Linked DNA regions of Oryctolagus cuniculus. The protein of the gene in region 3 interacts with the protein of the main gene of each other region in a pairwise test. Links are inferred from orthologs where the notes say so. Each region holds a gene or a part of one and is shown on either strand. Other genes may lie near its edges.

Region 1 (4,112 bases), on a different chromosome or scaffold from region 3:
AGAACAGCTCTTTGGCTTGCCATCAACCCTGTACCCAAACAGGAAGATATGCTGCTGAATACACAGCAAAGATTGAGGAAGCTCTTCACAAATTCTCTTATCCACTTCTGGTATTTTTTTTTTTGACAGGCAGAGTGGACAGTGAGAGAGAGAGACAGAGAGAAAGGTCTTCCTTTGCCGTTGGTTCACCCTCCAATGGCCGCTGTGGCCGGCGCGCTGCGGCCGGCGCACCGCGCTGATCCGATGGCAGGAGCCAGGTACTTCTCCTGGTCTCCCATGGGGTGCAGGGCCCAAGCACTTGGGCCATTCTCCACTGCACTCCCTGGCCACAGCAGAGAGCTGGCCTGGAAGAGGGGCAACCGGGACAGAATCCGGTGCCCCGACCGGGACTAGAACCCGGTGTGCTGGCGTCGCAAGGCGGAGGATTAGCCTAGTGAGCCGCGGCGCCGGTCCCCACTTCTGGTATTCTTAAAAGCACTTTCCTTTTATGACCTGTAATTATAAGAATAAAACATGATGGCAGCTCAATCTAGAACAGGTTTTGGTGACTCTAAACTTTGGGGGTTGATTCTGTACATATGTAGGAGAGACATCTGGATTATTTGTACATAATGGTACTTTGAATTGAATATGGACCTGGGTGGATCCTTATGCTGTGAAACAATGGAGTGTCAGAGAAGGAATAAAATGGCATCATTCAAGTTATCCCTCTCCTCACCTCCCATATCCCATATTTAATGAAAAGACATGAACACCACTTTTGAAGAAACAGTTATCAATGATTTAATGCTTGATAGAGGAACAGAAATCAATACTTAAATCAAATAGTATGCAGTCACTTGAGGAAAATACAGAATAACCACCAAACATTTCTATTGTTTTAGTAATGAAAATGAGATGTGTCCACCTCTCCAATGTGCTTTACAATTCTGCAGACAGTCTTAACACAGGTCACTGGAGAGAGGTAGATGAAAAATGATGTGCCCTAGAAACTATACAAGTTTGTTGGCTGTATCAGTATTTATATTTGTTTATTGCCATCTTTCTATGTCTTGGCTTTTTTCCAATCCATATGATCCTTTAGAAGGCAAGAAATGTCCATGCTGAAGTTTCAACAGTAACCAACTAGGGTTAATCCATTTTTTTGTTACACCTGCAATAAGAAACCAATCCAAGATGGCACAGTCCTCAGCCAAGAGGTATGGTATTATATCCCTTGGTGATACTAAATGAATGAGCTTTCACACTAAAGGTGATCTGACCTGAAGTATCATGCTACAGGGATATGATTTCTGAAATATCACTGAAAGGCAGAGCAGATTCCACTGAAGCATGCACACTGAATGCAACCAGAGTTGAAGACAAAGTGTCACGGATAAAGCACATTATTATAGGAAAGAAACAATGGACCAGGGACATCGAAGCCAAAAGGAGAAAAATCAACAGGGTTTCAATACAAGGGCACATTTCAAACACAGAGACAAGAAGTTAGAGTGGGTGTTTCTACTGAAGCCTTGGAAGTGCCTAATTTCTAATTAAACTTCAGCTAACACCATCATGTGTGCTATTTGGGACAATGCATTTATCAAAGCTTTAAATTTAGGCAGGAGTGGAATGGAAGGGAAGGAGGCTTAACAAATAAAAAACACTAAAATACTAAAATTCTAGGACTACCCAGTTGGAGACAAGACCTAGGCCAAGTCTACTTTATGGTGCCACCAACCAAGGTCTGAGGGAAGGGAAGTTGGCTGGGAAGCAGAAGAAATTGGTATTTCTTATACCCTAGGGGGTGGAATATCTTCTCAGATGATAGCTGTAGATCTTGATACAATGATCCCAACAATCCAAGACTAGCAGCTGTCCCTTAGGAGTGAGGGCAATGCCCACAGGACAGGTGAGTCCCTCTCGAATCAGGACACTAAAGCCCCCACCCTTAGGAAAATGGAGGATTTCCTTGCGACTACTGTCAGCCACGATGAGGTCACCACGAGCATCCACACACATGCCAGCAATGCAGCGGAAGTCCTCATTCTCTGAGAAGAAGTGGCTGATCTGGCGACCCAGCTGCCCATCAGGACCCACAGAGCCAATGGAGAAGCCACCCTCCAGGTGGTGCTCATTCTGCCGATTCTCCAGATTGAGGCCTAAGCCCTGGGTGAAGTAGACGGTGCCTTCAGCATCACAGGTGACAAACTTGGGCCGCACAGCACTGCAGAGGCAGCTGTATTTGACCACCCCTGCTCCTCGGTCAACAGTGAAACACCAAAGCTTTCCCCCTTCTACATCAGTTACCACAAACTGACCAGATGGCAGGGCTGTGATACCCCATGGTTTGCTCAGCTGGCTTCTATGACAGGCCACGCAGTGGCCATCCAAGGTATATACCTTGAGGGAGTTGTCATAGCTGTCAGTCACACCAATCAGCCCATGGCAGTTCATGGCCACTGAGAGAGGAGTGAGATTGGGCAAATCAGCCCCCAGGAAGCTTAGCACAAAGCCATCAATGCCACTGGGGCTGCGGCGGATCTCCTTCAAAAATCCTTTGCGAGTAAAGACTTGTATGCGGTAGTTACCACGGTCAGCAACCAGCACCTCCCCTTGACTGGTCACATACAGACTGACTGGAAGATTGAACATGCCTGGAGTGCTGCCTTTGGCCCCCATCTTCTTGAGAAATAGGCACTGCTGGATATTGGAAGTGGCCTCAGGACCTCGGTGTTTAGCAGGTGAGGCCCTAGGGCTGGCAGCTACTTCCTCAGGGCTCATGTCCATCTCTCTAAATGTAACAGAAGTAGAGGCAGCAGAAGCTGCAGCCTCCATGGCCCAGGAATCTTCCATGTTAACTGTTCGGGGCTTTTTAACTGCCTGCCCAATTTGGAGGGGGCCGACATGACCTACCTTAAGGAGCTCCACATCTTGTAGGGTGAGCTCCCGGGGCAAGCTGGCAGTGAGCTCTGGCTCTTCCTCATCAGCTGTCTCCTCCAGGAGGGCCACATCTGCCTGCTTGATCTTGGCCAGGAAGTAGTCACAGCGAGACACCGCCTGGACCTCTGCAATGTTAAGCAGGTAACTCTGTTCCTCAACAACCTGAGTATTGGACTTCTCAACTTCAGCCAAAGAGCCTGTGAAAAACTTCCGAGAACGGGCCAGCTCATCCTGGACCCTGCGCTCCTCATGCCCGTACTCCTGAAGAACTGCTTTGTATCTTGCTTGAAGGTCCTTGGACACGCCTTCTAAGGCTACTTTCCGCCGCTGCAGCTCTTCCATGAGCTCCCTCAGACGGGTTAACTTCTCTCCAAAGTCTCGACGCCGCTCCTCAGCTGCCTCTTTGACAGGAAGTGTACTGTGGCCAGGAGGTTGGTGGTCTGCTTCCCGGCAGGGCTCACACAACACCAAGCCACAGCTCCGGCAGAACTGCCGGGGCAGCCGCCGCCCACAAGCGCGGCACATAAGCAGCCCTACAGCCTCACTGAGTCCAGCTGTGTCGATGATCTTCAGCACAGTCAGGTTGTCTGTGAGCTGGGTCAGGCTGGTTATGCGGGTAATCTTGCTGCAAAAGGGACAGCGGACACCATTGATGCTACTGGCCAGGAGCTTCTCCAGGCACTGGCGGCAGATGGTATGACCACAGTGCAGGAGCTTAGGTCGCAGCTGCTCTTCCGTGAAGGACTCCATACAAATGGGGCATTCCAGCACTTCCCGGAGAGCATCCAGGTTCAAGTGAGACGCTGCTGCTGCGGCCATCACTCTTCCTTTGAAGGGTACTGGTAGCACAGCACAGGACTGAGTAGCTCAGTATTCATGCCCCAGAGAGTAAAATTCCTGCTAAAGAGACAAAAAAAACCATTATTCATTTTCTACTGCCTATATAAGTTAATTCACTCAAGAAACATTTAGATGAGAGCTATGAACATTCATTCAGTTATCTAACAAAAACTGAGATACTATGTGTAAGGTGATAGTGACACAAAGGGAAACAAAACAAAGTTTTGCTTAGTGGATAAGTGACACAAAGGAAATCCAAAGTATTGCTTAGAGAATAAGAGCTCTAGAGCCTCATTTACTTTTGTTGCATAACCTTAAGGAAATAACCTAAACTTCCTAAAATGTAG
Region 2 (4,116 bases), on a different chromosome or scaffold from region 3:
GGGGAGGGGATGTCAACAGCAAGAGGTAACCAGGATTCACTGAAGCTTGGCTTCCAAACCAAGGAGAAAAATAGAGGGGCAGGGAGGAGAAGATGTAGGCTGGAGAAAAGCTTGCTCATTTTATTCACTGACTTGTTTTAAATGAGAGAACAGAAATAGAAGTCACAGGTGAGACAAGATCATTGGCAGGGACAAGTGTGTGAGGCTACAAGTGGGAACAGGAGTCCAAAGAAGATTAGCAATACCCTGTCCATGGCCGGCGCCGCGGCTCACTAGGCTAATCCTCCGCCCAGCGGCGCTGGCACACCGGGTTCTAGTCCCGGTCGGGGCGCCGGATTCTGTCCCGGTTGCCCCTCTTCCAGGCCAGCCCTCTGCTGTGGCCAGGGAGTGCAGTGGAGGATGGCCCAGGTGCTTGGGCCCCGCACCCCATGGGAGACCAGGAAAAGCACCTGGCTCCTGGCTCCTGCCATCGGATCAGTGCGGTGTGCCGGCCACAGCGCGCCAGCCGCGGCGGCCATTGGAAGGTGAACCAACGGCAAAGGAAGACCTTTCTCTCTGTCTCTCTCTCTCACTGTCCACTCTGCCTGTCAAAAAAAAAAAAAAAAAAAAAAAAAAAAAAGCAATACCCTGTCCTGGCAGGGCTGAGCATCAAGGCAGGAACAAACTCAATACCCCAGCAACACTCAGAATCTTGGTATCTATCACAGAGTTGGATTTTAGACCACCATCCCTCTCCTGGCCCTGTGCTCTCCACATCCCTAAAAACAGAGATCAGTGCCACTCTGTGACATAGAACATTTGTCTACAGAACAAGATCATTACCAGCAAGTCAGTAGCCCTGGAGAAAACAGACAGAATGGGATCTCATTAGACAGTGAGGAGAGAAAGATGCTGCAGTGTTTGAAATCTGTGTCTCCAGCCACTGAACATCTGCACCACTTCATTTGGAGAACCAGAGCAGCACAGCAAGAGAACAGCGTGTTCTCAGCTAGCACTGGCCTCCAAACGTATTTCAGCTAAGGGATGTAGATCTGCTGCACACATTTAGTCTTATATTCTTGCCTTCTAAGGAGAACCTCATGGGTTCGGCCTCCATGTGGATATGAATCCAATTAACACTCTGGTTAAATAAATCTGAAGGAAAACAACAAAGATTTCTTTTTTTCATAATGCACGTATGCCATACACTCTGAAATCCTTATCCATAATATTGCTGATTTAGAATTATAATAGGCCTCAAATATCAAATATAACTATTACACAAGAGGCTATGATAAATCCAAAACAAAAATTTAAAGGAAAATATTTCCTTCAATGTGAGCTGCTGTACTTCTAGCATGCAAAATGACCATCTTCTTCTCCCCACTTGGTATTTCTTCTTGAAAGACTATCATCAAAATTCTTAACTTTTATTTGCTGTTTTATGCATTTGAAAGAAAGAGAGAGAGAGAGAATTTCCCATCCATTGGTTCACTCTCCAAATGCCAGCAACAGATGGGTTTGGGCTAGGCTGAAGCCAGGAGCTGGGAACTCAGTCCAGGTCTCCCACTTGGGTGGCAAGGACTCAAGCACTTGAGCCATCACCTGCTGCCTTCCAGGGTGCACATTAGCAGGCAGCTGGAATTAGGAGCAGATCTAGGAGTTGAATCCAGGTGCCACAATATAGGATGCAGGTGTCCCGGGTAGATCTTAACCGCTACACCAAACATCTCCTCCTGATTAAAATTCTTATTCTAATAATGTACTATATACTGTATAACAAAGTGGAAGAAAGGAGCTCCAATCACAAAGAAAAAAATAAGAAATGGGGATGCTAATGGCCCAATCTGATCAATTTATGCTGATATCTATGTTGAAATATTGCACTATACCCCATAAAATATTCAAGTATTAACATGTCAATCAAAAATCTTAAAAAGTAAAAAACGTTTTACAAAGATTCTTATTCATAGATATCACCCTAAACCTCCATCATGAAGAGTAAAAGAGGGAACAATAATTTGGCTAACTCCCTTGATTTTCTAAGGGAATATTGACCAAACAGTAGCAGTACTGTGTCATGCCAGTAAATGAGATTTAGTTAAGAAACACTACTGATGTGAACAGGTGTTTTCCTTAAATTATAAAAGAGGAAAACAACCTAACTGTGGGAGGCAGACCAATCCCCATGCCTAAGAACTAGTCCCCAGAACCTGAAAACTGGTTACCTTACATTAGCAAAAGACATTTTGAAAGTGTGAAGATAAATTAAAGGCCTTGAGATGGGGAAGACTAAGCTATACTATCTAAATGGTGCCATCTCATTATAAGGGTGTTCAAAGGCAGAGACTCAGAAAAAGTGTCAGCGAGATACAATGCTGTTGGCACTGAGATGGAGGAAGGAGCCACAGCCAAGAAGGGTGGGCAGCCTAGAAAAGATGGAAAAGGCAAGGAAACAGATTCTCCCCAGGGCCTCCACAAACAAATGCAGTCCTGCCCAACAGCGTGGGACTCCTGTCAGACTTGCCGTGCACAGAACTGTAGGGTAACAGATCTGTGTTGAGCCGTGGAGTTCGTGATAATTTGTTACAATAGCAATAGAAAACTAATCCACTAATATTCCTTTACATAAAGGTATTGGGCAATACCCCCCTTGCCTTTAAAGCCAAGGTGATATACTTAAGCTAATTAAAAAGAGTGTGTGTAAAAACCTAAAGTAGTAGAAGAAAGGAACTCCAAGCCCCTAGTCATAAAGTACCTTCAAAGAAGGAGAAATGTTGATTACCCTGATTGGATCAGTACACACTGTATTCCTGTATTGAAATATCACACAGTAGTCCCTAAGTACCTACAATTCTTAATAAAATAATTAAAACCAATCAAATAGCAGACTCACAAGGTCTGGCAAAGAAAAAAAATCCTTTTGCAGGACACAAATAAGCTGATCACTTTAAAAGGAAAACCTGTGGGATAGCGGCTGTGGTGCAGATGCAGTCAAGGAAAGCTAGGTGCGAAACCCCTTACAGGTGGAACTTACGTCCAGGTTCTGGAGACAATACCAGCAGAATGTGTGCTTGCAGTTCTTGCACATCATCTGAGCACAGCCTTCGTTGCGTTCGATATAAACCCGGCAGACTGGGCATTGCTTAATGGGGGCTTCCGCATCTGTCCCAAAGAGGGCTCTAGAAACAACACGGGTGAGAAATTGCATGCAATTGACAATCATCAGCTGAATCCCCAGGGCTTCTGATAGTAACGAATGCACCCTCAGTTATCAATGCTTACGTCACTTCCAAAGCAAGGGTTGAGGGTAAAAATAGGGAAGACGTAGATTACTAGCTGTCCAGATAACTCAAAGCAGGAAAGAAAATGTATTTATTCTGGCTGTGAGAAAAATTACATCATTATACTTTCCACAGTTGATTTAACTCATTCTATTGCCAAATTAATATTTCATTTCCCAAGCATACATTGTCTGGATAAGAAGTGCAAGGAGTCAGCTCCACAGCAGGGATACAAGCTTACGATCCAAATTGGGCATAGATCATGAATCTAATGATCTGCTCATTAAACAAGTGGGAGAATGGTCTTAGTAAGCAATACTATAAAATAAATGTCCAATATTGTTGAAAAGACCTGCAAGTGAGCAGCCAGTACAGACTCACCCCAAAAGGGACATAAGAAAACAAAAAGGTAGCATACATTGAGATGGGGTCAAGGGACAGGGGAGCCACAGCACTGGATTACACATTAGCCACTGTTTATCAAAACCCCCACCCAGCACACAGCAACACTTGGTTCTCAAAGTATCAAATCCATGATTGGACTTCATACAGACACTAACCCTAAATAGTGGTGGGACAGGTACTATTCCAATGCTTTTTCTTCCATGGGGAAACAGTTTCACAGGCACTGAATGACTTGTATGAGGAGACCCAGACACCAAGTGACAATGTCAGAACTCAACTCTTCCTTCCCTGTGAGTTCTTCATATTGCCCTGCGACACCCAGGTTGCTGACTGTTGTAGCAGTAAAAATGTCAAAAGCGCTGGTTTGAGCCTGGCTAAGGCCTGCTATGTGTATTGGATCTTTTTTTCCTTTTGTTTGGCAAGAGATTCAAGCACAGTGTCTAAGCCA
Region 3 (4,116 bases):
TGCCTTAGAGTTCCTTAGGTTTCACCAACGTAACTAAGAGCACGTAGTGAAAGCTGCCCGAGTACTGTTCGCTGTGTGGCTCTTTCCTGTGTGCTGTGGCAATCTGGGCAGCTTTTATGTTAGGTGTGACGACACAGGGGGAGAACGGAAAGGAGTGTTGGGTGATGCCTGCCAAAGAAAGGACGACAAAGAAAGGACATCGTTTTCTTATCACTTTCCTTCTGCAGGGAAAAACTGAAAACGTATTGCACAGAATTATTTCTTGCAGGAAATTATTTTTTTTGGGGGGGGGAAGGAGTAGTTTGTTTCTTTTTTTTTTTTTTTCCCAAAGAAACCTTTTATTTTCCCAAAGAAACCCTCCCACCCACACTCCCACCCCTCCACACACTCCCTCTCCCATTCCCAGTCCCATTCTCCACTAAGATCCATTTTCAATCAATCTCATATATAGAAGACCGACTCTATGCAAAGAGTTCTACAATTTGCATGATGAAAAAAAAATCGAAAAATGTTCCTCAACAGTTGAGACAAGTGCTGTTCCAAGTCATGGCATCTGGAAGTTAATTTCTCTTCTTTCCTTCTCCTCCTCCTCTTCCTCCTCTTCTTTCTCCTCCTTCTCCCCTCCCCCTCCTTCTCCTTCACCTTCTTTTTTTTTTTTTTTTTTAGAAACTTAATTAACTTTAAAAAAGCACCCAAGAAAGATAGAAAATTCCTTAAAATAAGTTTTTGGGGCCAGCATTGTGGCTCAGTGGGTTAAGTGCCCCCTGCAACACTAGTATCCCATGTCAGAGTGTCGATTCGAGTCCCAGCTACTCAGCTTCTAACCCAGCTCCTGAAGAATGTGGCTGGAAAGGCAGCAGATGATGGCCCAAGTACTTGAGTTAAACTCGGATGTGACATCTTTCTGATGGGTAGACTCGTTTCAACTGGCACCAACCATCCACACCATCAGAGCATTGAAAGATAATAAGCTTAAGGTCTTTGTTGATCTTTTGAAAGAGATTGGTTTGACAAAGAGTTATAGTAGAAGGGATCTTTGTACCATTTTTAACTGAAAATGGATACAGAAAATATTTAAATATTCCATTATATAATGATTATTTTCTAGATTACTTATTTGCTATACAAATTTAATGCATAATCGATGGTTACCACATAACAGTAAGTAGGCATTTCTTACATTCGCATGACTTGTGGAAAAGTCTTTGAAGTAGTGTTCTGTATACAGATTCATTTTCAATCAGCATTTGGGCTGCTTCCAAATTCACTGGCTGTTCTAGCCCTGGATTAGACAGCATAACCTATAGGAAAACATAGACAACATAACATTTTAGAGCAGAAAGACAAGCCGATAATACAACTTTCAATAAGTACTTATTAAATACCTACTATGCACAGACCTGTGAATAGACATAAAGGTAACGTGAGACACAGTCTTTACACTTAAGAAGCTTCCGATCTGTCTTGGTTTTATACTGCACACTCACAAGCTAAACACTGGTGTCAGAGCAAGTTAACAGTCCTTCCTGTCACATTCCTTCCTGTCATACACATTCGAACTGGGTTTTTATGGAAAAGGAACTAAACATTAGGAAACACTGAAACATTTCCATTACACGGGCTTAAGAAATAAAGCTTTACGTTTTAACATGATACCACATTAGAACATGGATGAACAAGCACAGGTACTGAGGTTGCACACACTTGATTAATTTATTATCTGTAGTTGTCTTCTCCTGCTGCTAAATGTAATTACAGTGAATGTAGCTGCTCATTTCTAGGCACAACTCAGGACAATTTGAAGGTCAGCTGCTGAGTAAATATAATTTCATCTGCAAGTCCTTTCACAGTAATACATGGCAGACATCTTTAAAATCTTGTGTGTCTGCATCTCACGAATGACCAGAAGTAACTACAACTTCACAAGACCATGACTTATATCTCCCCAAATTGAAAATATTTATTGCAATTTAGTAATATAGACATTGTATCTTACAACATGCAAATTATATGATAAGATATGCTAAACCGTGCAATATACAAGTGTAGATGCTGGTCAAAGTGGACAGTTGTGGCTTGGAAGTTACAGGAATGATGGCAATCTCTCAATCATGAAAGTAACCATCTGACATTTGATATCTCAAAATCAACAAGAATTTGCTGCTGTAACTTGAGTTTTCCTATTTTGGAAACACATTGGGGCTATATGTCCAAGAATGGAATACTTGCTTCAAGAAGGGTTCAGTGTGGATTTCACTATACCTTTCAGAGTGGGTGGGGGTAGAGGAGACTTACCTTCTATACAGGCTTTTGGTCTTTGGCTGTACAGATATAATTTTACTAAGGGAAGCTTATCTGGTAAAGTTTACTCAATAATCTTCTCATTAACCACTGTGCCTATGATCTATTTATGTAATATATATACAAGCTGTTAAGTATATTTTATGATTTTTAAAGAATTGGAATATAAAGTCATATTAAAAATTAATAAATCAGACATCTGCTAAATAATAAAAATAGAAAGCTCAACTTTTAAAATAACCATGTGGTAGAATGAAATAACATAAAAAGCTTTCCAAGGGATAAATACAAAATATGGAGCTCCAGTAAACAGTGGCACCAGCAGATAACATTTTGTAAGATAAAATTAGTTAATGCCCATGGATCTGGAATCTATTCTAGGGGTGGGTGTTGATATTCACCTTTACCTTTGAAGAGATCCAGAAGATGAACCCCAGATATCTACCTGCCTCGCTCGCTTCTTTGACATTTTTACTCAGATTTCTCTTAGGACACAGCCCCATGCAGGTGGATGCTCTAAACACTTTCAGAAGGAGTTAATGAATGAACTGAATACTGAATTTTTTTTTTTTTTTTTTGACAGGCAGAGTGGACAGTGAGAGAGAGAGACAGAGAAAGGTCTTCCTTTGCCGTTGGTTCACCCTCCAATGGCCGCCACGGCTGGCGCGCTGCGGCCAGTGCACCACGCTGATCCGATGGCAGGAGCCAGGAGCCAGGTGCTTTTCCTGGTCTCCCATGGGGTACAGGGCCCAAGCACTTGGGCCATCCTCCACTGCACTCCCTGGCCACAGCAGAGGGCTGGCCTGGAAGAGGGGCAACCGGGACAGAATCCGGCGCCCCGACCGGGACTAGAACCCAATGTGCCGGCGCCACAAGGCGGAGGATTAGCCCAGTGAGCCGCGGCGCCGGCCGAATACTGAATTTTTAAAAAGGATTTACATTTTACTCAGTATACTAAGCTGACCTTCCAGAAAATAAACTATTATTTTATTTATTTTTAAAACTACAAAACGAGAAATGGAATTTATGTAGTAATTCTATGTTGAGAAAATTTCAATTAAGCCAGAATATTTCATTCTCCAAGTGTTCTTGATAATAAAAATTTAATATTATATTTCCATTTGTTACTAATGATAAGTTGGTTGGCTGAAATACTTTGTTTTAGCATTGGATAAGAAAGGAGGGTTTTACAGGGTCAGGAATAACAAAACACTGAGCATGTTACTAAGTACCACGGGCCCAGAGGGGATGGAGGTAGTAGTTGGGAAACAGGCATCTATCTGAGGAGAGAAAATCTCTGGTTTAATTGTTCACTCGGTTTGATGTGAACATGTAAGAGAAAGTAGCCAACACTGTCAGAAACAAAGGATAAAGCAAAACATTCTCAGCTGTAATCATTTGATTCACTTCTTTGAGGACGGCAAGGTTCAGGAATGAGCAAAGACCTAAAAGGCCTGCTCAATATCAGGAAGTGAAGTCAGGAGCAAAAAGAAAATCTAAGGCTGTATTTCTAGAATTGAAACATCCTAATAAGACTGTTCTTCTTCATGAAATATGTATTCAGTTGTAAAGGGCCTTAGCTACTCACTTCATTTTAAAATAATAGTTTTTATAATTTAAATTCCAGTTTAGAAACTTAACATAGAAATGTTGATTTAGATAAACTTGCTCAAGTCCTTTAAAAGACTTTGTATTTTCATCTTTATGTTTTGTATGATTGCGATATTAATAGTATTAAAGGGAGCATTGCATTAACTCCATTCTTACCTGTAGAGTGAGTAAGATGCTGCTCAACGTGTAGCTTGTATTCCACTT

Evidence for each region.
Region 1: the proteins of UBE2U (region 3) and TRIM32 interact in binary tests that used the Homo sapiens proteins (3 or more experiments, as listed by UniProt). The link is inferred for Oryctolagus cuniculus from reciprocal best matches to the Homo sapiens genes UBE2U and TRIM32.
Region 2: the proteins of UBE2U (region 3) and RNF144B interact in a two-hybrid assay, tested with the Homo sapiens proteins (2 studies listed by BioGRID and IntAct). The link is inferred for Oryctolagus cuniculus from reciprocal best matches to the Homo sapiens genes UBE2U and RNF144B.

Annotation. Positions count from the first base shown.
Region 1 is NC_091432.1:220,212,060-220,216,171, reverse strand, and holds the end of TRIM32 (E3 ubiquitin-protein ligase TRIM32), read right to left. Parts: intron 3,826-4,112; 5' UTR 3,745-3,825; coding exon 1,783-3,744; 3' UTR 759-1,782; downstream 1-758. UniProt on the Homo sapiens protein: E3 ubiquitin ligase that plays a role in various biological processes including neural stem cell differentiation, innate immunity, inflammatory resonse and autophagy.
Region 2 is NC_091436.1:145,652,408-145,656,523, reverse strand, and holds part of RNF144B (E3 ubiquitin-protein ligase RNF144B), read right to left. Parts: intron 3,162-4,116; coding exon 3,017-3,161; intron 1-3,016.
Region 3 is NC_091438.1:108,530,314-108,534,429, forward strand, and holds part of UBE2U (ubiquitin-conjugating enzyme E2 U), read right to left. Parts: coding exon 4,069-4,116; intron 1,302-4,068; coding exon 1,181-1,301; intron 1-1,180. UniProt on the Homo sapiens protein: Catalyzes the covalent attachment of ubiquitin to other proteins.